Oryzias latipes: one gene and its partner. The protein of the gene in region 1 binds, or shares a complex with, the protein of each later gene. Links are inferred from orthologs where the notes say so. Each region holds a gene or a part of one and is shown on either strand. Other genes may lie near its edges.

Region 1 (12,122 bases):
GGGGGCAGCAGACTGAGCAGAGATGCCCAGACTTCCCTCACCCCAGCCACTTCCTCCAGCTCCTCTGGGGGGACCCCGAGACGTTCCCAGGCCAGCCGAGAGACGTAGTCTCTCCAGCGTGTCCTGGGTCTTCCCCGGGGCCTCCGCCCAGTGGGACATGCCCGGAACACCTCTCCAGGGAGGCGTCCAGGAGGCATCCGAACTAGATGCCCGAGCCACCTCAACTGGCTCCTTTCGATGTGGAGGAGAAGCGGTTCTACTCCGAGCTCTCCGCGGGTGACCAAGCTTCTCACCCTATCTCTAAGGGAGCGCCCAGCCACCCTGCGGAGGAAGCTCATTTCAGCCGCTTGTATTCGGGACCTTGTTCTTTCGGTCATGACCCATAGCTCATGACCATAGGTGAGTACTGGAACGTAGATCGACCGGTAAATTGAGAGCTTTGCTTTTCGGCTCAGCTCTCTCTTCACCACGACGGACCGATAGAGCGACCGCATAACTACGGACGCTGCTCCGATCCGCCTGTCAATCTCACGCTCCGATCTTCCCTCACTCGTGAACAAGACCCCAAGGTATTTAAACTCCTCCACCTGGGGCAGGGACACTCCACCGACCGAGAGATGGCAAACTACCTTTCTCCGGTCAAGGACCATGGCCTCAGATTTAGCGGTGCTGACCCTCATCCCAGCCGCTTCACACTCGGCCGCAAACCGCCCCAATGCACGCTGGAGGTCCCGGTTCGATGAAGCCAACAGGACAACATCATCTGCAAAAAGCAGAGAGGAAATCCTGTGGTCCCCAAACCAGATCCCCTCCGGCCCCTGGCTGCGCCTAGAAATTCTGTCCATAAAAACTATGAACAGAACCGGTGATAGAGGGCAGCCCTGCCGGAGTCCAACGTGGACCGGGAACAGGTCTGACTTACTGCCGGCTATGCGGACCAAGCTCCTACTCCGGTCATACAGAGACCGGACAGCCCTCAGTAAGGCTCCCCGGACCCCATACTCCCAGAGCACCCCCCACAGGATGCCACGGGGGACGCGGTCGAACGCCTTCTCCAAATCCACAAAACACATATGGACTGGATGAGCGAACTCCCACAAACCCTCCAGCACCCTAGATAGGGTGTAGAGCTGGTCCACTGTTCCACGACCAGGACGGAAACCGCACTGTTGTTCCTGAATCCGAGGTTCGACTATCGGACGGACTCTCCTCTCCAGTACCCTGGCATAGACTTTCCCAGGGAGGCTGAGGAGTGTAATTCCCCTATGGTTGGAACACACCCTCCGGTCCCCCTTCTTAAAGAGGGGAACCACCACCCCTGTCTGCCAGTCCAGTGGTACGGTTCCCGACCGCCACGCGATGCTGCAGAGACGTGTCAGCCAAGGCACTCCCACAGCATCCAGAGACTTGAGGTGCTCAGGGCGGACTTCATCCACCCCCGGGGCCCTGCCACCGAGGAGCTCGTTGACTACCTCAGTGACTTCAGCCCGGGTAATGGACAGCCCCACCCCAAAATCCTCACTCTCCACTTCTTCAATAGAAGGCGTGTCAGTGGGATTGAGGAGATCCTCGAAGTACTCCTTCCACCGCCCGACAATGTCCCCAGTCGAAGTCAACAGCTCCCCACCTGCACTGAAAACGGTGCCTGTGGAGAACTGCTTTCCCCTCCTGAGTCGCCGGATGGTTTGCCAGAATTTCTTCGAGGCCAACCGATAGTCCTTCTCCATGGCCTCACCGAACTCCTCCCAGGACAGAGTTTTCGCCTCTGCAACAGTCTGGGCCGCAGCTCGCTTAGACTGCCGGTACCTGTCAGCTGCCTCTGGAGTCCCGCAGGCCAGCCAGGCCTGGTAGGACTCCTTCTTCAGCTTGACGGCATCCCTTACTTCCGGTGTCCACCACCGGGTTCTGGGGTTACCGCCGCGACAGGCACCAGAGACCTTGCGACCACAACTCCGAGCAGCAGCAGAGACAATGGAGGTGGAAAACATGGTCCACTCGGACTCAATGTCCCCAACCTCCCCCGGTACCTGTTTGAAGTTCTCCCGGATGTGGGAGTTAAAGACTTCCCTGACGGAGGGCTCAGCCAGACGTTCCCAGCAGACCCTCACAGTACGTTTGGGTCTTCCAAGTCTTTCCGGCCTCTTTACCCGCCAGCGAATCCAACTCACCACCAGGTAGTGATCGGTGGACAGCTCCGCCCCTCTCTTCACCCGAGTGTCCAAGACACAGGGCCGAAGGTCACCTGAAACAACTACAAAGTCGATCATTGACCTCCTGCCTAGGGCGTCCTGATGCCAGGTGTACTGATGGACACCCTTGTGCTCGAACATGGTGTTCGTTATGGACAAACTATGACGAGCACAGAAGTCCAATAACAAAACACCACTCGGGTTCAGATCAGGGGGGGCGTTCCTACCAATCACACCCCTCCAGGTGCCACTGTCATTGCCCACGTGGGCATTGAAGTCCCACAGGAAGACAATGGAGTCCCCCGTTGGGGCACTTTCCAGTACCCCTTCGAGAGACACCAAGAAGGCCTGGTACTCCGAACTGCTGTTCGGCCCGTAAGCCGAAACAACAGTTAGAGACCTGTCCCCCACCCGGAGGCGGAGGGACATGACCCTCTCGTCCACCGGGGTGAACTCCAACACTTGGCGGCTGAGCTGGGGGCTCACGAGTAAGCCTACGCCAGCCCGCCGCCTCTCACCTTGGGCAACTCCAGAGTGGTAGAGAGTCCAACCCCTCTATAAGGAATGAGTTTCAGAGCCCAGGCTATGTGTGGAGGTGAGCCCGACTATATCTAGACGGTATCTCTCAACCTCTCGCACCAGCTCAGGCTCCTTCCCTCCCAGAGAGGTGACATTCCATGTCCCAAAAGCCAGGTTCCATGATCGGGGTTTGGGCCGCCGAGGCACCCGCCCTCGACTGCCACCCAAACCACACTGCACCGGCCCCTTTTGAGGTCTCCCACGGGTGGTGGGCCCATGGGAGAGCGGTCCCACGTCGCTCCTTCGGGCTGTGCCCGACCGGGGCCCGTGGGAAGAGCCCCAAATCTGCCTCTTTTTACCTAGAAATGTACTTCACTTCACTGAAACCTCAATGTTCTTTTGACATAAAAGCTGTTTGGGTACACAAACATTAAAGCCATCCTGATCTCATCAAAAGAACAATTGAAATAATTCATTTACAAATGTGTATTAATTCCCATCTGGTACATCCTTTTAATCTAATAAGTCATTGCAGTCAGGAGTCGTGTAGATTTAATAACACTAAAATTAACAACCAAAAAACAACTTTACTTTTGACCAGTAATTTATTAAATTAGATGCTTAAAAACAGATACTTTTATCTTTAACATTGCATGTATCCAATTCTCTATGTAACATTTCAAACTGGTCAACTGCTAGAAAAGAATAGAAGTATGCCCCTTAAAACTAGATGTACCCCATTTGCAGTCTTTGGGGAAGTGAAGCCCAGAAGCTGCATCCCTCACCTCACTTGATACAAGCCCACAGAAGCAACTAACAGACCATGAACAAGTTCATTCACTTGCCTGATCTATACCTCTTCTGCATTAATAGAAATCAAATTAGTAAATTGCATTTGACATGCATGAAAAATACTTATATTTCTTTATTCCAGAGATGTATCAAGAGAATGGCTGAGCAGTCTTAAAGTCACATTGTTATACTCTATCCCTTTTTATCTTACAATCAACCTTATTTGCTCTTTAAAATTACTAATTGCGCCTGTCTCAAATTACCCACAATCCAACATTTCCAGAAAGAAGAATGAATAACATACTAAATAATTGCTCTGCTTTTGGCAACCAAAGTATAGACTATATACTTTCCTGTGAAAGCCCATCCACAGAAAAGAGTGGCTGTAATATGCCCATGACATTCTGGTTAAAGATTTGCATAGAATCTTGTTTCTATGTCATTACACTCAATTGTGATACTGTATTTGCACTTTTTTTTTTTTAGACGGGAGCAATGTTTTAATAAGAAAACAGCTCTGCAAAATTCAAACAGTGCTTTCCATGTATTTTCTTCTGAAGCTGGGTCACACAGCACACTCCATGTTTTGTGTGTCAATTGTGGCTGAATGAGACAAAAGGCAGTTCCTTAAGTAAGAATGTGAAGGGGCCAGACTGGATGCTCCCTGCCTTGGTCCCTCAGGTCACTGAAGCAAAATTGAAGGGGGCAACACACAGTTCAGATTTTCCAGGATGGCACTGGACAGCATGAGAAGGTACAGCTGTAGTTCTGAAGATGGGAGAGAGAAGACAGCAGTGACGGAGCCATCGTCACATGAAGTCCTCATAGTCTTGGGCGTAACCACCATCAAACTCTGCATAGTCAAGGTCATCTCTCAGCTGTGCTTTCAAACCGCCTCCAGCTATAACACCTTTCTTCTTCTTCTTTCCCTTGTTTTGCTGTGAAAGCAAAAACAGATAAAAATTAAGCTGAAATTGAGAAGACAAACTTCTCAACAATGCCATGTGTCAACAGCGCCCCCTTTTGTACAAGTAGTCACTTTTAGATGATCAAGAACTTACTTTTTCTTGTTTCTGTTTTTCACTAAGTAGAACCGAAAGGGAATTACTGACTTTCTTTAAGTCCTCTACTTCCACTGCATGAAAAAGAAAAAAGATGCACATATTAGGCCGGCTTGGATTTATAAAGAAAATGGCATTTAAGAAGTGATGTTGAGGATAAATGAAACTGAGGTCTTCCTTACATGAAATACAAAGTTCCCGAAACAACGATTCCAAAAAACTTGAATAATGCACAGACTTTTCAAACTGGGATATCTTTTCTTTCAGCACTTTTTCAAATTCTGTGAATTCTTCTTTGGAGGATGGACACATGGCATCAATGCCGGTGACACTGCCAACACCTGAGGTGAGAGAAAGAAAAAAAAAAAAAACGTTTTTAGATGTCTTCTAAGAACAAAAAGTTACATTAAAAAAAAGTTTTTCATTGGTGCAACAAATGTTTTTAATTGTAAAAATAGTGTAGAGCAAAATCCTTTCTTTTTAACTTCCTGGAAAGAGAGAAATGAAGAGGCCAACTCTTTCTTACCAAAAGCATCTTTTGCTAACTCCAAGTCAGCCTCTTCCTGTAGTTTTTTCACTCTTAACTTTTCTGCAAGTTGTTCTTCAGGAGTTAGTTCCTCTTGTTCCTAAAGAAAGCAAAAAAACAATAACATTATAGGAATATTGTTTTACCGTTTAAATAAAAAAAGGCCATAGCAACACATACTTGCTCTTGCAACTCCTGCTGTTTCTTCTTTAACCGGTTTTCCTTCTCTTTGATCTTTTCACTTAACCTTTTCTTATCAGAAACTTTCGTCTCTGTAAACACAAGTTTGAAACATTTCAACATTCATACCCATAAAAATGCAAGTTTTTCCTAATGATTATAGTACCTGGTTTCTTCGCCTCCTCCTTTTTCTTCTCATCATCTTCCTCCTCATCATCATCCCAGTTATCCTAAAAAAAAGAAAGAAAGAAAACATATTTAGGTTATTTCCAGAAAAAAAAGGTTGATTTAAAAATGTATTTTTACTTCTTTTTTAAATTAGTTTATCTTAATTTGGTTTATACCAGAAATTCCTGAGCTTTATTTTATTGCATTTATTGCAACATTAACCACTTTGTCTTTTGCAACATGTTGCCAAATCCTATCCCTCAAATCCACAGAAATGTCTTCACCCACTTTGTGAAGCCTAACTCAAGCTTTTACAACATGTGATCTCAAATGAGATGACAGAACAATTCATTAAGCAAAAATAAATAAAACTCATTAACCTAAATAAAATAATTGCAACAGCACCTAGTACTTATTGACTATTAATGTTTCCCCAAAAACAAGGTTACTGTTCCTTTAGTAGTGGGTAGTGTACTTTATTTTAATAAATGAATTAATAAATTAGTTACGTTAGTTTAAACTTATGAGATATTTTCACTAAAAGAGCAGTTTTATTCAGAAATGACCATCCATGTCCAATTATCACTTATGAAACAGTACACTTGCTTACATAGCAAACTACTAGCAAAAAAAAAGTAAATTTTTTCCCAAGCTTTGACACCATGGCATATGTGACCAAATAAATAAATATACATTTATCCCAGGAAGGCCTACACTAAGACTTTCCACGGCTGAACTATTTGGGAAGAAACACGATATTTTCATATAAGCCACCTGAGCTGCAGTGTCAGCTGAGCCGCAACAGCTCAAAACTCCTGCTCAGCCATCGTAAAGTCGGAAAATTCTAGGCCTCCTTTTGGCCGAGTTGAATCATCAGCAGAGAGAATGATTTCCTCTGACTGAGGCTAAGTTGGTAAGCGAGCTATTAGCTAACGTCAGCAGACCGGAGCCCACAGTTACTGCCATTATTCACCTATTTTCACTTTACCACTTTTGGTAAAAAGAAGAAAAAAAGTTGGACTTTTCTGACATTTCTTTTTTAAAATAAGCATCGTCGTGCCCAGCTGAGCGTCCAAAACAGGCTAACTGTTAGCAAATATCTATGCCAATAAATCCTCTAAAATGAAAAGTATATTTCAAAGTCTAAACTATAAACCAAAGCAGATATTATTTCTATTGTTAATAGTTTGCTAAAACAACGTTCAGTTGTCACTTAGTGAAACCCGGACGGAGGGCTGGTGTTAGCTCAACATTGGACAGTCTGTGGAAGCACGCGAGTTAGCCATCCGCTAGCTAACATACAGCTAACACAGTTCTAAGGTTGGGCTTGACGGACACGGAGGAAGCGTGGCATCAAGAGCGATCTGCTTTAAGCCTAACGTCGGCGTGACTCTCGTGAACGACCCGCTAAAAAAACAATACAGATATACCTGAATTTAAATATACACGTTAAGACTATGACATGATGAAGGCATACCTTAACATCTTCCTCTTCGTCTTCGCCTTCCCATTTGTCCATAACTGCAACAACAACTGCCGCCTTTTTAAGCGGCTCCTCTGGCTCGAAGGTCTCGGCGTCTACAATAAGAAAAAACATTCAATATGCGAAGACAACTCGCTATAATCTTATGGTGATATAGTTTTCAACTTTTAAAAGAAGTTTACAACAAGACTACGGTGTATAAATATATTCCATTCCCAACTTAGTTTCTTACCCCAGTCCGCCATGTTGGCTGTGTTTGACAGGCTCGGAGAAACGTGAAGGCTGCTGCCGCTGGGCATGCTCAGTAGCTGCTCCTGACGTCACCGCGAGTTTATGTGACGTCCCCGAGCCAAAAGAGCTATTTCAGGCGAGGAATTTATTCACGATGATTTAAAACAAACAAAGAAAAACTTACAAAAATGATTTCTAGATTATTTTCACAATTATAAGGAACGACTGCCAACCCCCTTATAAATGTTCAAAAACGTAAACACTATGGCAGAAATAACAATATAAAAACAATTAATGAAAAACGTATAAATATTTGTAATTATTAATCTTTTTTTTTTCTATTTTCTTTTCAGGTGGACCAACTTTTTATACCACTTTTTTCTTCACAAGTTCTTGTAAATAATGTCTATCAAAAATATGTTTTTTCTTGGATCTACAGAATCAGGACGCCCATAATGTTTCAAGGTTACTAAACACAAAAGAAAAATTCTAAGATAACAGAGATTTATTTCAAAGAAAATTTTAAACAATTACAGAGTAATAAATGAATTTGTTTTTTCTAAGAGTATCCCTGGTTTGAATAAATATTGAACATTTGTCCTGTTAGATATGATTCGGAACTTATAATATTTGAAAAAGACTGATGAATAGATTACTGTTGGGTTTGCGGTCCCCTGATTCTTGCCTTATGACTGCCAGGATTTGTTTTTTAGACCTCCGAAAGTCCTGAAATGTATGCAAAACATTTGAGGTTATCAGTGAGAGAAGATCTAAGAACAAAAGACAGAAAATGTAAAAATATACATTGTGAAATAAAAGTTTAATTGTTGGTTCCTTTTAATAAAGTAACAGTCATTCAGAGCCCAAGTGGTTTAACTGAACATTTCAGCTAAAAGTTAAAGAAAATTAAGCAAGCACAACAATAATAAACTCACAGCAACAATAGACTGTCATTGATAAGCACTAATACTTCCAGTCTTAACTATTGACTATATACACAAAATAACCTGACAGTTTGCAGTAACATACAGACAAATAAAAAATGTCAATACATTTTTTCATTTGCAAAAAATTTACATTTTTTCCTTGTCAATATACATGTTTTTAGAAAAATAAATGTTAACTTTTATTTATTGTAGGTTTTATATGGGGTTTAAATGAAAACGCTGCAAAATGTTATAATTGTGTTTTTATATCAAAAGCAAAGCTGTACTTTTAGCTAATTTGAAAAAAAAAGGGAATTTGCAACAACGTTCACTAAAATGTCAGGAAACATGACATGAAGAACTCCAGATATGTTGCTTATTTCCTCTTCACAAAAACTGTATCTTGCTTATTTGCTTATATTTTTTATTGTGCTTTGTATCACAGTCCTGAAGCAGCTTAGAAGAGTGAGGTTATGTATCATGGCAGAATGAGACAGTTAGCTGCATCAGTAGTCCAAATATGAGACATGAAGGATTGATGCCAACCACCAAGCCCATTGACCTCCCTGTGAGAAACAGAAAAAACAAAATCAGACCTATTAATATAACACAATAGCCATGCAAAATGGCACCTTATTCAACTGTCATTTCAAAAGAAGGCATGTTGCAGGTAAGTTAACCAAAGAACAACCCTTAACAAGTGTTACAGCTTTTTAAAAAGGCAAAAAATGTGAATGCATAACTCAGGGATATTTATTATCACTTTACAATTAATTTTTCCATTTGATTATGGGCAGCAATTTGAAAAGACATTTTACAATTCAATTAAAATGTTTTTTTGAACTTAATCTTGGAGTTTTTTATTACATTTTTAAATAGAAAGAAATCAGTTACGTTTAAAATTGTCATGTTTTGTGGAACCATAATTCAATGAAAATGCATTTTGCAACTGTCATTTCAATAAGCAATTTGATCATGTACGTATTTAGAAAAATGCAGCTTGCAGTCCAAAGTACCATCTAAAAATGACATTTTAATTCCTTGTCCTTTTTAACTCTATAGTAAAGTAAATTATAATCTATTTCATTTTTATTGATAATTAGTTTTTAGTTAAAATCCTAAAGAAATTTTAAAACACCCTAACCCCCAGCTTAATGCTTTTTTTATTCACAATGCACACCCCTCTCTTTGAAATTTACTTTGGAATTTTAAATTATATGAACACGATGCAGAAAATTACATTTAGAAATCTTTTGAGTGATGACAAAACTGATAAAACAAGTAAAAAAATAAACACACAATGTGCGTGATGTCCTCTCTCGTGCACATTTTACATCCTTTCATTTATAAGGAAATTACTAATTGAAATAAAATGTTCAAATCAGTTTTGTTATCGAAATACTACATAACCATGTCCAATTATCCACAGACCTTTGGTTCTATAGTTACCTCTGAAGTCTACAGGTTTATTCACCCAGGGAGTCAGCACCATGTCAAGAGCTGTCCTCTGCACATCCGACAGAACCGCGATCTGCTGCTGAGTCACTGCTGCCGCCTGCTCATAGGAAAACATGCTGATCTGCTTCTGGTTAAGTGCCACCTTCAGACAAACAAAATAAAGGAACACTAATGTTGAGATTCATTAAAAAGATGGAAATCAGAATGTATATTTTCGAATTATTTGATTTTTTTCATTATGGATTATTGACCAATTTCCACACAATACCATCTTTAAAAATACTCTCGTAATGACAACTTACAGCAAACTTTTGAGGTGAAATCATTGAGATAGCCTTGGGGGTGATTCCTTCAATTTGCTCTTGAACTAAAGCTGACATAGCAATATCAGGGAGACCAGCTGTGAAATAGACAGTTAAAATTGCAATGGGTGTCATGGAAGTCAAATTATTTTCACTGAAGGCTGTGAGCACATAAAAAATGTTAAAATAATATACTTTGAAAATAATGATGAGAAATACATTCAGGGTAATCAGTTCAGATCTTTCAGTGGGGTTTTTTTTCAAAGTACCTGCCAGGACTCCAATCTCCATGAACACATCAGTCCCCCATGAACTCATGAGACCAAAGGCCAGGCTGTGGGAGAGCAGCTCAACAAGAGCCTGCAGCTGCTCCTCTGAGCAGGAGAGACTCAGCTGACCCAGACAGAGCACTGCCTTGCTGCAGCCGGACAAATACACATGTTTGGAGTAGAAGTTAAAGAGGAGATGATTCTTTTGCAGCATCTTGACTGCTCACCTGAACTCTACATTATTGAGTAACTTGATCTCTGTAGTTTTAGCTCCACATATAATGTGTCCCAGTGCCACCAGAGTGCTGGAGTCTAGCTGGTTGGGACTCTGCTTGGTGGAGTTTAACAAAGCAGCGAACAGGGCAGCGAGCTGGGATTACAAAAAGAGAGGAGTTCAGATGAAAGCAGGGATATAAACAATACTAGAATAGTGGACAACTTTGTAAAAAAAAAAAAGCAATTTTTTTCAGTGTAAATTACTCTCTTATGGGCATTTTTGGATGTTCTACTGCTGAAACCCTATTACCAGACATAACATGTGAGATCTTATTTTCAAGATACGTTGTTTTTGTTGGTAAAACGACAGAAGTTTTATTTCACCTTTGAAATACAAAAAAAGTTTTTGTAACCACCGAGGAAAAGAATAGTATAGCTTTTACAAGACATGTGATAGTACTGTCTCATTTTTTTACTTGAACAGATATATATATTTAGATTTTTCTTGGCAATTTAATGAAATTTTAAAAGTTACACAAAATTCACAAGATTTGTTTTGGATAATTTTGTATTTACCTGTTATTATGGCAGTTTTATGTCAATAAGGCTTTTTCCTTTTTGCATTTATCCTTTTAGGCTGAATTTGAATCAGCAGATTCAAAATATTTTTATCATTTTAAGTTATTTTTTTGCTTGGTTCAATTCTTCAACATCTAATTTAGCATACAGCAAAACACCTTAACAGCTTTTTTATTTTATTTTAAAATTTCTATATTTATTAAATAGGTTTCTGTGATGTTTTAGCGACTTAGCATTTACAAGTTCATTTGTGAAGGAAGTTCACTTTTTTGTAATATTAAAATAGGGTTTTCAATTAGTAAATAAAGAACAAAAAAAGTTGTAAAACAAGTAGTAAAAGAAGTAAAGGAGAAGTTCCAGTTAAAGTCTGAGTCAAAGGCTCTTTGGAACTGATGTGTAAAGTTACACTAGGATTGATTACTCATTTAAAAAGAGCCAAGAAACTATCATCAAAATTTAACAACTATGAACAAAGAAGCTACCTGTCTGCTGTTCCAAGATTTGACAGCTCCCATGGCAGCAATGCTTCCTCTCTCGGTCAGTTGGAGAGCATTAAGTTCTTCCGGTGTCATCTCTGTCGCTATTACACCTAACTGAGCAATCACAGACGGGGATAATGATGACACTGGGCCATACATCTTGATCCATTTTAGGGTGATCCAGGGGAAAATAAACAGAAAACAAAACAACATTAGGACCTTTACAGATCAGAAGCGACACAATTGAGAGGAATGCATGGCTGTTACATATTAACCTAACCTTTTTCACCCTCTTGAGCACCTCGCCACGTTGGAAGAATGCCAAATTTGAGTCGCCGCCCATCAACTCCAGACAGTTGGAGAAGGCGGATGATGACATGCTGCTCAGACTGCTGGAGGTCCAGACAGAGGGCGCTGTTGTGTGCAGCATCTCACAGGTGGGAACCAAGGGTGTTGCTGTCAGAGGAGGCATTCACACACAAAAATTAATAACTCAAGAAAAGAGCAACAAATACTTTTTAATCTGCATGCAGTCTGACCAGTTTATGCTGGTTGAGAAAAAACTGGACAATGTTGTGGGCTACAACAATCTCTGCTGAATGAATTCACATTAAGAAGTAACACAAAACCACAAAAAGTACAGTTTGAGTTCAATTAATTTTGATGAGCGAATAGTTGCATTTATGGAAGCAGCCTGCATGTTGCATTTTCTGCAAAACGGTTGTTCTATAGAATGAGCAAAAA
Region 2 (12,113 bases), on another chromosome or scaffold:
ACTGCAGAGGAACAGCATTGGGGATAAAGTCCGTCATTTCCAGCCCTAAAAAAAGTAGAGTCCCTCTAATCTGTCTTTACTGGTTTCCACTTGTTTTAGTCTTTTTAAGGCTTCAGTTCTTGTTGGTTTTTTTCTTTCCTCAACGCCAACAAAATTGACTGACTTTCCAGTAGAACGTCCTCATCAGCTTTTTCTATAATCTGACATTTTCAAGCACAGGAAAAATGTTGGCAAGAGCCAGAAAAACAGATTATTTCCTGGGTTCAGAGTTTTCAAACATCCCTGTCTGATATAAACACGCACAGATGATTTAATCTTAATTTTGTAATCTTATAATGCCGTTATTTTCTCCATTTTACCAGAAATGAATTATATCATGACACCAAATCACCCACAATCTAAACGTAAAAAATGAACAAGGTACATTTTAGATTTTTAACTTTTATTTCTAAAGACATGGAGATAAAAATAACTGTAATATATCTGTAATGTATCTATTACGTAACTGGAATAATAATAGTTTTAACTTAATTATTACTTTTTTGTTACCAAAGAAACTGCATAAAATATGAAGAAAAACCGGTTGAAATGAACAACCATACTAACATCCATGAGTTTTGGATTAGAGTTTCATGCAGCTTTAGAGGTTTTTTGTCTCTTAATCAGAAAAAAATATTTCAGGCTACATCCGTCATTGAAAAAGGCTGCATTTAGATCAAACACACAATCTAGGTTGTTACTCTAAAGAGGAAATATTGTTGATTTTGTTGATTGTGCACAGAATTTTCATTTTCTTTCCCTGAATTTTCCTGAAGCTGTGAGTTTTCGTCTCCAAGTTTCTGAATGCAGAACATGTGATTGCAGCAATAAATTCTACTGTACATGATCTTCTACATTATGAGGTACGCAGCTTTGCAGATGACACCCACGTTTACTTGACACCAAATAACTCTGTCTGTGAGGGTTTAAAAGAAGTATACTGTCATGGTTTGGGTTTCTTTTGTCTTGGTTTTTGCTTTATTTCTTGTTCTGTCATGTTTGGTTTTGTTTCCTGTTTTATTTTGAAAGGTGTTCTGTTTTGTCATGTTCCTGAGTTTTACTCCCTTGTCCCCATCTGTCCTGATCTTGTTCACCTGTGTCTTGTCTGCCCTGTCTGTATTTAAGTCTTGTCTCTCCCTTCCTCTTGTGCTGCTCCATTAACGTCACTAACGTCTTTAAGGTCTCTTTGTCCCTGACTCCCTTCATGCCATGTTTCATGCTTTGCCACAGTAAGTTTAGTTCTAGTTTTGTTATCCTGCTCTGCAGCGCTTTTTGTTTGTGATTAAACACCTTGCCTTGGAACCGTGTGCCTCCTGCCTCTGCGTCTGGGTCCTACCTGCTCTCATACCCCCCCAACCCTGACATATACAGTATAAAGACAAGAAACTAATTAGTGCAAAAATAATACACCTGCATTTAAATCAACCGTTAAAGACCCACTGATCATCCTCTGATCGTGCTCTCAGTGGTCTTTTCACTGTGATCATGCTGTTTTTAGCAAGAAAGGGGGGGGGGGGAGTTGTTTTCAAGGACATACGCAACGGTTACATGGACAAAAGTAATCAGAATGAACGTCTGATCAGAATAGAAATGCGTCATGCAAACACGCCATTCCGAATACTCTGCCCCCATCAGACTCATTCGGATCAAAATTTCCTTCTTTGGGACGGTGTGTGAGCTAACGGAGGTGGCCTCTGAATGCAGAAATGACAAAAAGTCCCTAATTCACATGAATTTGTGTTCAGACAGAGATAATTATTGCAAATCTTAGGTGAAAAAGAACCATCTCAACACAGGATAGAAGCTCCTTCAGAATGCTTTAAATATATTTATTTGTCACTATGTATCTGAAATGCATTAGACTCTATGCACATTTACGGTTCAATATTTGCATTTTGAGTGATTTAAGCACAATTACGTTATTTAAAAACGGTGAGCAATACCAGAGAGGTACAGCTGTTTAGTTTTGAGCCACATATCGGCTCGGACGAAAACGAACATCTGGTCGTCTGCAAGTGGATGCGTCAGAAAGGGGGCGGAGCAAGGAGCTCGTCCCAGCAGAACGTGTTTCCTACGTCACAACTACAAGTTTTTTAAAGCTGATTTCTTTTCCATCTGCTCCTGATTATACAACAATTTGAATAAATAATTACTCGGAAATGCAGTCCTGGGCTTAATTTTTCTTCTTATTCGTCATCAGAAAAACATGGGTCTTTGCGTGGAGAGTCTGTCACGACAAACCCCCAAAGCCAAAGTGGATCCTAAACCTCCGAACCAAAATGATGATTTCTGCACAGAAATAGCAGGAAGGTGTTTCTAAATGTGTATTAGAGTGAGTTTACCGCATTCTCCTCTCTGCTTCTTTGCCCTCCTCACCTTCGGTCGCTTCCACTTCAGTCCCGCCTGCATCTCCAGCTCCCCCACGGGGAACTGGTAGTCCACGAACAGCCCGTCACGGCCCAAGGTCACCCCGTCCGCGGCCGGCGCCGCCAGGTCCCCGCTGAGCAGGTCCGCCAGCCAGCGGCGGGACTGGGACCCCAGCAGCTCGTTCCCGTCCTCCTCCTCCATGGGGGTCACGTCCTCGTCCAGCGGCGGGAGGGAGCTCCCCGACGACGAAGTCCTGGACCTCCTCATGTCTACCTGCCCGACCTCGCGCAGAGACCTCTTTATGAAGGGGCTGAGGCCACGCCCCCCTAACAAACAGGTAAAGGAGATGAGCCACGCCCCCCACAGGTAAAGGAGTTGAAGTCACGCCCCCACACACACAGGTAAAGGAGCTGAAGCCACGCCCCCATAGGTAAAGAAGCTGAAGCCCCCCCCCACACACACACACAGAAGGAGCTGAGCCCCCCACACATACAGGTAAAGGAGCTGAAGCCACGCCCCCCACACAGGTGAAGGTGTGGCTTCTCTGTCGGTCATGATTTGCTGTTGATCGATGAGGAGCAGCTTAAAAATGGAAACTTAAGACTTTATTTCTGCATTTATGAATGGATTTCAGATTTTCCTAGAAAACTCTAGAGGCGCTTATGACAGTTTAATTACATTTAAAACCTTAAAAAAAAACTTTCGTTATTGTTACTTTGGGTGAGTGTTCTGTTAATGAAGGTTCTGTTAATGTTCTGTTAATGACGCGCTCTGTTAGTCATTGTTGTTTAATCTACGCAGTTGAATTTTTATTCCATTTTCACATCTGTCATTGTGACGTCATGTTGGAAATATTTTTTTAAATCAGCATTTTGGCTCCATCTGAAGTCACACAATCACATCATCAAATCTTTATTTTAATTGTACTTTTTTTCAAAATAAATCAAAGCACAAAGATTTTAAAAAACACATTTTTAAAATGTTTTTTTTTAATCCTTACTCCCAGAGTTCTCAAAAATGACGTTTTAGGAAACTCCTGACATCACAAGTTCAACACAAAGGGGTCTGAAGGTGGTCTTTTATTTTGAAAATTCAGCTGATATTTTCTCTCTGGGTCTTTTTAGCTTTCATCTCCGAAAATCTTTTCATAATGCTATATGTTCAGATGTTGTAGAATCGACTTTGTATTAAAATGTGGACTCCATGCATCCCTCATGTCCCCGCGGTTGCTGGTTCATCTCCCCCTGACTGTCTGCGGCGGCGCCTCGACTCTCGTCTTCCTGTCTCTGTTCCATGAACGCATCCTCCGTTTCCATTTCCTTTAACGAGCTCCGAGAAGAACCTGCATTGTGTTTTTTTTCTGTTCCAGACAAATGCGATGGCATAAAAAAAAAAAAAAGAAATCCTCTAACTTACTAAAAAAGTCTGAAGGTATTTAAAAATTCTGCAACTTTTTTCCAATTGTTGACATTTTTTCCGGATTTTTCTCCCAGAATGCAGCAGCACCTGACCTGACTTTACATGCAGATAATCTCTGCACGGTCTAACAAAGAAGTTTACTTTAAAAACGTCTTTTTTTTCTACCTAGTTCTATTTTAATCATGAATTATTTCAGTTAGTTCATTAAAAATGGTGAAACTTTAAAGATGCAAAGTTAAAAAAAAAACTGAAATAAATGTTCCTTAATGTGATCAACTGAATAAAATCTTCAGATGCATCTATATTTACCAAAAACAATTTCATTTTGTGACACTCATACAACTTAAATAAAAATGTTGTTTCTCTTTCGGCTTTTTCCCATCAGGGGTCGCCACAGCGAACAAGTCGCATGGTAAATTTGGCAATGTTTTACGCCGGATGCCCTTCCTGACGCAACCTTCTCAAAGCAACCGGGCTTGGGACCGGCACAGAGGTAGAGAAGGGAAACTTCTTAAATAAACAACTTAAGTTTATTCTTATTCAACTTAAGTTTATTCTTAAGTTAAACAACTTAAATAAAAATAGCAGAGTTAATTTAGAGCACAATCTCCTGGAGGAGCTGCTCAGTGGCTCTGTGGTAGAGTGTCTGCCCAGACATTGGGAGGTTGTGGGTTTAAATCCAGCTGGGTCATAAAAATCATCTGGAATTCCTCCGTGCTCCAGGCTGGAATTCGAGGGTTGAACCGTCCCAAATGTAAAGAGCAAATTTCTCACACACACGCGTGACCATTGACAGGCTTTTATTTTGATAAAAACAGGAAAGCCTGAGCAGATCCTCACCTAAATCCCACACCGGTTTTCCATAATTCACTTCATGAAGTCCCACTGCTCTGTTGGAATATGTACAGAGCTCAAACGAAATCATTTGGGATCATTTCCAACACCTTCACGTGAGGGGGCGGGGCTTCTCATCACAGCCACTTCCGGATTCTGATGCCGTCAAGTCAGCAAAAACCCGATCAGGTCAGAGAAGAGGCGACCCCTCGGGATCAAACGGAGGAGTGTGATGCTGTGAAAAACCACCTGGCTGATGACTCAGCACATCAATAAACATGAAACAGCAAAAAGTGCACATTAAAACCAGACAAATCCATCGGTTTTTGGTGATAATTTACTTTTATTAAGCTGTTTTTCTCACTGAGATGTGGCCATGATGCTGGAAACACCTGCAGACAAAACAAACAGCAGGAGAACTTCTTCAGACGGGAGACGAAACACGTGAAACCTGGAAGGTTCTGCTTCGTCTCGGCGGAGATCTCCAGAAATAAAAGCTGGACTTACTCTCAAAGTCGATCTTCTCCACAATGTTCTTGGGCTTGATGCTCTCCTCCTGGTTGTAGATGAAGATCTGCCCGTCCTCGTTCTCCGTCCAGCCGTATTTGTTCATCCACACCTTCACCTGCGTGTCTGCAGCAGGAAGCGGAAGCAGCTTCAACACCTCCGACCGTCGCCAACGGCGGATCAACCGGCGGATCTGGTGGATCGGTTCTTACCCAGCGGGTCTCCCAGCATCTCAGCCAGTAACCGGTGGTCAATGGTCTGGTAGGTGATGCCCACCACATGGCAGATGACTGCAGAGGAGGAGGAAGACGCTCAGAGACGTGTCTCCTTCGGGTCAGAGCCGTCGTCGTCTCCTGTAAGGCGATACTCACACTTGCGAACGGAGTCCTCGAAACCGGCGATGCCGTCAATGAGCTCCCGGTTCTCCTCCAGACTCGTCTGACAGGAGAGAAGAGCCAGAGAAAAGTTTCATTTCTTCACAGACTCCAAAGTCTGGAGATCTGATCCGAGAACACGATCTGCACCGCACCCAAAAGCTCTGGAAGTGGCAGGTCTCCAGCAGGTTCCCCAGGTAGAGGATCTGCCTGATGGGGCGCTCCTCTTGCTGCGACACTGTAGTCAAGGAAACACTCCCCCCCATCCCAGGTCAACCTAAGAATTATTCACTTTTAACCAACCAGCTAGTTATTCTCCAGAAATGAGACCTCGCTGTTAAAAAGCTAAAAGAAAAACCTCAGCTTTTATTCACATTTGAAAAAAAAAAGTGGCCAAAGTTAACAACAGTAACGGGGTTGACTCTGATTGTTATATTGGTACTACAGACCCCCTCCAATGAAAATGGAGTTCCTGGTGTCCACCAGAAGACTCTCCACCACAAAGACCCACTCCAATGTTTCTAACATGTTTTTCTGACGACGAATAATAAGAAAATGAAGCTCAAAACTGCATTTCTGAGTATTTCTTTCTTTAAATCGTCGTGAATCAGGAAAAATGCCGTTTGTTGAAGATCATAAACAGAAACTATGCCAGAAGAAAACAACAGTGTTTTTTTTATTTTGGCTGAAAAAGTTATAATCATAATTAAAAAAACCACTGGGAACGCTTTGAGAATAGATCAGAAGATGATCGGAGTGGGACTTTAAACTGACAGAAACACTAAAAACCTTAGAAGATAACGAAGCAGAAGCTGGTCTGATCTCAGACTGAAGAGCAACAAAAGGATACGTGTGTCTGGTCGATCATGCACTTGCAGAGAGTGAAGTCTGTGTGCGGCAGGTTGGTGAGCGCCTTGAGCAGAATCTGCGCGGTCACCGGAGTCTGGAAGTAAGCTGGGTTGAACTGGTACCTGCGGGTTCAAAGGGGAATCTGTCATCTCACGACGGGAAACCCGAGCGTCGCACCGACCCGAACGCAGCGGCAGCTTACAGCTTCAGCACGGCCAGGTTGGCCTCCAGGTCGTAGGCGTTCTCCCTGGCCTGCGTGTCCACGTACTGCTCCAGTGTGACGAGGTTTTCTGGGTTGTACCTGTGAAGATGCACAGAAGCTGGGAGTTTACAAGCCATAACTGCTGCTACTGTAAGGAACGTTGGTCCTCTGGGATGTTTTTCATGCATTTTTACGAGAAAGTCAGCCCACAGATGTGCAATAAAAAGGGGTTAAATCCCCCAAACAAAGAGACCTTCACAGCATCAAAACAGAAATCAAACTTAGTTTAAGGCCCAGCGGGTTCTACATTTTTGATTCACCAGTTCATTATTTTTTTAATAGTTTAGTGGTAGAAAACCGTTTCAAAATAAAACTAAAAAAATTAACTTTTTATGATTTAAAAGCTGTATTACATTAAAAAATATTAATGCTATTGATTTTTTTATTATTATGGTGGAATTAAATTGCATTATTATATTTCAAATCAGACCTTTAGTTTATCTGTACGGACATTATTTAAAAGACAACTCACATCTGTCTAAGTTGATCAGTCATCACAAAGCAACAACATACAGATCGATATGATCATCTTAATGCATCCATAGCATAATTAATTTACCTAAATGAATCTGTTTCTGCACTTAATACTTTCTGATGTTCAGTTTCTTTATGATTATTAAGAGTAACTTTACCTCTAAATTAGGGTCTATTAATAATTAACTTAAGTATTTGGTTCCGGTCAAGATCCTGAAAGTAAAGCCAATCTATTATGGCATTTACATTTAAAAAATAAATGTAAAACATTTTTTTACGCAAATGACATTGATAAAACAACTTCAATTTAAAGAAATTAATTGAAAGTTTTTAATTTCGACGAGTCTCTCAAACGTTAGCAAACAAGAAGCTAAGCTAGCCCTCGCGCCCGTTTTCCTCTTCTCTCTCGTTGGATTCATACCTGTCGATCCCCCGTAAGAGTCTCCCTACTGTCGCCCTCATCTGCTCGAACGACGAAGCCATCTCTCCAGATGTTTAACAAAATACTTTCAGGTAAAAAACAGATGTATCTTTGCACGTGCACCGCTAAAAGAGAAAAAGACCCAAGCCGGAAGGGAAAAGAGGTCGGACCGGAAGCATGAACTGAGTAAATGCGAGAGAACCGGGTTTACCAAAATAAAAGTCCGTACACAAGTTTGACTTTTTTTCTGGTCTGATTTTCTACTTGAGGGAGACAAATCAAAAGTTTCTTTTAAATTGATGGCATTACTTCCAACCCTTAAACAAATCATAAAAAAGATTTGTATTTCATTACTGCCACTTTGAAACTACCAGTGTATTCAATTTTGAGAATCTAAAAAGTTTTGTGCATTTTATGGATTCTGTAAGGTTGTTATTTGCTGCATTTTGGAAAAGGAAACCTTTTTTTATAAAATATATTTTTTGACTGACTTCCCCACTCTTTGAAACAATACACATTTAGGTCCATTATAGATATGGTGCTTCTCAATAAGCAGCAACTCACACTACTGTGCAGATGGAGCCAAGACAGACCTTCAGGTTCCAAAAAATTGAGTTTCTTTGGCCTTGATGACCTTGTCTTTTGCAGAGAACATTTAGTCTGGCCTCAAAGGCCTTTCAGAGAGGAGATGAGTAATGCATAAAAAATAAAATAAAAGTTCCACCCTCTTGGCTTTGCTGTTGAAGCGTTGTGACTGTAAACACTGCTCTGAAAATAGACCTTTGTGAGATGTCAGCCACTTCATCTGTGTATTCATTTTGTGTTGTTTTAATCTCTACATTTCTAGAAAACAAAGAAGAAAAACTGAAAAACTTGTCATTCAACCTTTCAGTTTAGTTACATGAAAAGGTTTTTTTTTTCTCTCAGACATAATTTTGTTTTCTAAAACTGTCTTTTAGTGTTTTTGGTTACATTTAGAAGGGAAAAAATATAAATCTAACTTTTAAAAATTGTGTTAAGAATAAGACGCAACATGTTGGCCACATCAAAATAAAGAGAAGTCTGAAAAGATGCAAAACTATCAAACACCTTCTTTCAGTAATATTTCCTTCTTTTCTTTTTAAATCCTTCTACAACGAAAGCTTTTTTCTCAAAACGGAAGAAATTAAGTTAAACTAAAAAATTTGAAACGTCCGAACGGGGTCTTGAACCAGCGACCTCATGCACCAACACTTCCCTGTGTATTTCAATGGAGATAAATCCTTGAAAATCCTGGAATATCTTGAAAAGTTGAAGGATTTGAAAAACCAAAAGCCATAGCAGGAATAAGCTGAAAGAGCTGAACATTTTAATAGTTGAATGGTTAAAAATAGTTGAAAATTGTAGAAGGGGTTAACTGCCGAAAAACGGCGGAAGATGAGCGCAATAAATAAAGAGAAACAGGAAAACAAAACAATAAAACTAAAAGAATGAAAAGAGAGCCAAAAAATTTAAATAGTCACAAAAAAAAACTGTCATTCAACCACCTTGTTTTGGCTTTCAGTTACAGCATACCTTTAAAATAAAATGAAATAAACCAAAATTCCATCTATCCATCTGTGCATTTGCGTTTTGAGGGCACGTTGGACTCGCCATGAACTCGAAAACGTCTCAATAAAAACTGTTTGTGGTGAGTGTTATCATTGAAGGTTTACTTCTATTTGATGAATTTAATTAAACTCATTCCGCTTTTTCTCCGTCGACCCAGAAATGTGTCATGGTATGTGATTTGAATGGTACAATAAATGCAGGTGTTCATGCACAATAAACTATTGCATTGGTGGTTCAGTGGTAGAATTCTCGCCTGCCACGCGAAGGCCAGCCGTATATACCTGTAACACGGAACAGCCAATCAAATTGCAGCTACTGCAGCATAGTCAGCCAATCAAACTGTGGCTTGTGTAGCGCTGTCCAAGCTGATGAAATCCTTTGGTCCCGAGTTCGAACCCCGGTTAGAGTGATGTCAGTCAGAAGTTGTGGTATAATAAATGTTTTTGTTAAACTGAATATGACATTTCATAATTATTGTTTTCTACTTCTGTCTCTCCTTGTTCCAAATAACAGTCATGATCTGTTGCTCATTTCAATTTCAACTATGTTTTATTAAGAAATCAACATGAAAATAAATAAAACACAGTATTTAACACAAAATGTACCAAAATGTTCAACCATGGATTTACAATTGAAGGGCAGAAGGGTTTAAACAGGCAAAACTTTAATACAAGTATTTTAAAGGTGTAAAATGAATTGAGGAAGTAGTAAATATGTTTGCTTTTTCTATCAAAACTAAACACTAATAATAAATATGTAAGAAAATTGTATTCACAAAATAGATTTCACAAACTAAATTACAAATATTTTCACATTGATAGATAACACCACGAGTTCTATCATAATCAGTGTGTTATCAGAAGAGAACTTAATACAGGCAAACATATAGACAGGTTTAGCAGAGATTTTGACGTTTTACACTTATTTCTCATCCAATATGACAAGCTGAGGTAAAATGAGACAAAAGTGGTCAAAACAGCAACATCTTTTGATAACAAATAGAACAGACATAAAAGCTATCTCTTTCCCTCTTCTGCTTGCCGGCCAGCAGCCCACCTCATCTTTTCAGCCTCATAAAAAGGAGACTGAGAGAACTCCTCCCAGGTCATTTCTTGAGTCATCCCATTTGCCCGGTGGAGGGACAAGACTCTGGCAGGACAGTAAACATACTTCCCCACAACACCAGGGAACCCGGTGTGTATGTGTGGACTCTCTGGACCTTGTTTCAGTGGTTTGTGGCAGAACCTGCACAGACGCCCACTGGGATGCTGCTCCCTTGCCTTTCTTTTCTGTCGGTCCTCCAAAACCTTTCTGCATTGTGCAGACCTCTGCTTTGCAGCCTTTAACTCTCTCTCAAAAAATGGCGTGGCAGCAAAGTCTGCAAATGGCATCCTGGGGTTTGTAAGGCCTTCTGCTGCATAGATCTGGAGTACTTTTTTGGAGCAGTAGAAGTATCTCACATCCCCAGACTGATAAAAGAAATGAACAGAAGATCCATCACCAAGGTAACGAGACTTTGGCTGCCCACAAGCAAGACAGTTCCTTGTCATTTTTTTTTCAGGTTTCTGCTGTTGTTGCTGCAGACCTACAATCTCCTTCACCATTTTTTCAACGTCAGTCTTCGTTAAAGGAGCTTCATCTGGTTTAGAGCTGGGGGGGTTCACTGGAGCAGGAGGGAGAGTCACAACTGGCACAGTGACAGTTTCACTGCCTTCAGTGAGTTTATGCCACAGCTGCTGGGTTTCCAAAAGTTTTTCGGGACTAGTGTTCATAGACGAACTTCTGTTAATCATCTTCGCCATGTGCTTCACGTAGCGGGAGATGTGCTGTTTAGTGGTGGGGTGGAGGAGGCTGTTGGGATTCCTGGAGGCAGTTTGAACAAGGGCGGCATACTCTGCGTCTACCTTGCTCAGAAAGTCCTTTTGTCCATGGTGCTTTGCCAGAAGGACATCAATGGCATCTCTCATTGGATTTGTCCAACGAGAATGGTCCAGGACAAAAAGCAGACCCCCTGCTTTGATAGGACCAGTGCGAGCTGCGCGTGGAGAGGCAGCAAAAGGCAGTGGTGGTGGTGTCGTTGAGACATCTGATGGAGAGGAAAAAAGAGAAAAGTTAACCCTTCTCACTTCTCTTTCCTTGAATGCAATGCACAAATAAATTAAAAAAGGCTGAAAATTTGAACTAAATTACCTTTCACTTCAGGGGCTTGGGTCATTGCTAGTGAGTCATCAGCAACCACACCTAAGACATTATCCTGAAACATTGGACCATTCAGTTAGTTTAAACTTGTTATGTAGCTGCAGTTTTATTGTAATAGAGTGAGGATGTTTGTTACAACAAACTTACATGAGCAGAGTGTTCTTCTCCATGTTCTTCAGGCAGGTCGATGACTGTTTCATTGGAAGGAGGTGGTTCTGGAGACAAACACTCTTCTTCCTCAACAACCGGGTCTCTCTGAGACTTGTGTTTGTCCCAGTGAAGAGGAACCGGACGGCAGCCAGGCTCCACATACTGCAGTCCAAACCTTTCCCCAGTGTCGGCCTGTGACAAGACTAAGGCAGGGTACTTAGCTTGTCCTGTCACTTCCTTTGACAGTTTGTTCAGCTGTACAATCAGAGCTGGATTAAAAACTGAAGGAAGCTTCAGACCAGGTTGCTTCAGGCTCACAAGGCGCTGGAAGTTCCACCGAGCTACTCCAGTCATGCCTTGGGCCTGGAAAAGTTCTGTCGAGACCTGATTTCCTGTCACCCATTTGGACTGGTGGAAATGAAATCCCTCCTGCTGGGATGTTCCTCGCACCGGGATCCAGATCGGTACCGCTGCCGCTTCCCCCTTGATGTGGTTCAGCTGTAACGTGCCACCGTGTCTGTAGAGGATCCCGTCTCCCACCTCCGGGTCGCTCAGACAGCCCCTGAGGATGTGAACGCGCTGAATCCTCCACACTTTCAGCATTGTTGCCTTAAACAGTGGTATGCCA

What was found.
Region 2: eif3j (region 1) and eif3k share a complex: the UniProt entries of both Homo sapiens proteins name them as parts of the eukaryotic translation initiation factor 3 (eIF-3) complex. The link is inferred for Oryzias latipes from reciprocal best matches to the Homo sapiens genes EIF3J and EIF3K.

The regions. Positions count from the first base shown.
Region 1 is NC_019861.2:18,395,104-18,407,225, forward strand, and holds eif3j (eukaryotic translation initiation factor 3 subunit J), read right to left. Parts: upstream 7,266-12,122; 5' UTR 7,218-7,265; coding exon 7,151-7,217; intron 7,014-7,150; coding exon 6,913-7,013; intron 5,498-6,912; coding exon 5,434-5,497; intron 5,360-5,433; coding exon 5,268-5,359; intron 5,188-5,267; coding exon 5,088-5,187; intron 4,903-5,087; coding exon 4,744-4,902; intron 4,636-4,743; coding exon 4,562-4,635; intron 4,439-4,561; coding exon 4,310-4,438; 3' UTR 3,295-4,309; downstream 1-3,294. Other genes in the region: stereocilin, read right to left, coding at 8,547-8,641, 9,525-9,675, 9,836-9,933, 10,105-10,253, 10,332-10,474, 11,382-11,537, 11,659-11,834. UniProt on the Homo sapiens protein: Component of the eukaryotic translation initiation factor 3 (eIF-3) complex, which is required for several steps in the initiation of protein synthesis.
Region 2 is NC_019871.2:2,891,943-2,904,055, forward strand, and holds eif3k (eukaryotic translation initiation factor 3 subunit K), read right to left. Parts: upstream 7,726-12,113; 5' UTR 7,609-7,725; coding exon 7,547-7,608; intron 6,691-7,546; coding exon 6,592-6,690; intron 6,512-6,591; coding exon 6,391-6,511; intron 5,774-6,390; coding exon 5,696-5,773; intron 5,605-5,695; coding exon 5,538-5,604; intron 5,457-5,537; coding exon 5,379-5,456; intron 5,293-5,378; coding exon 5,167-5,292; intron 5,052-5,166; coding exon 5,020-5,051; 3' UTR 5,001-5,019; exon of another isoform or gene 4,981-5,000; intron 4,895-4,980; 3' UTR 4,609-4,894; downstream 1-4,608. Other genes in the region: calpain-3, read right to left, coding at 2,416-2,673; uncharacterized protein LOC111948454, read right to left, coding at 10,153-11,222, 11,327-11,390, 11,483-12,113. UniProt on the Homo sapiens protein: Component of the eukaryotic translation initiation factor 3 (eIF-3) complex, which is required for several steps in the initiation of protein synthesis.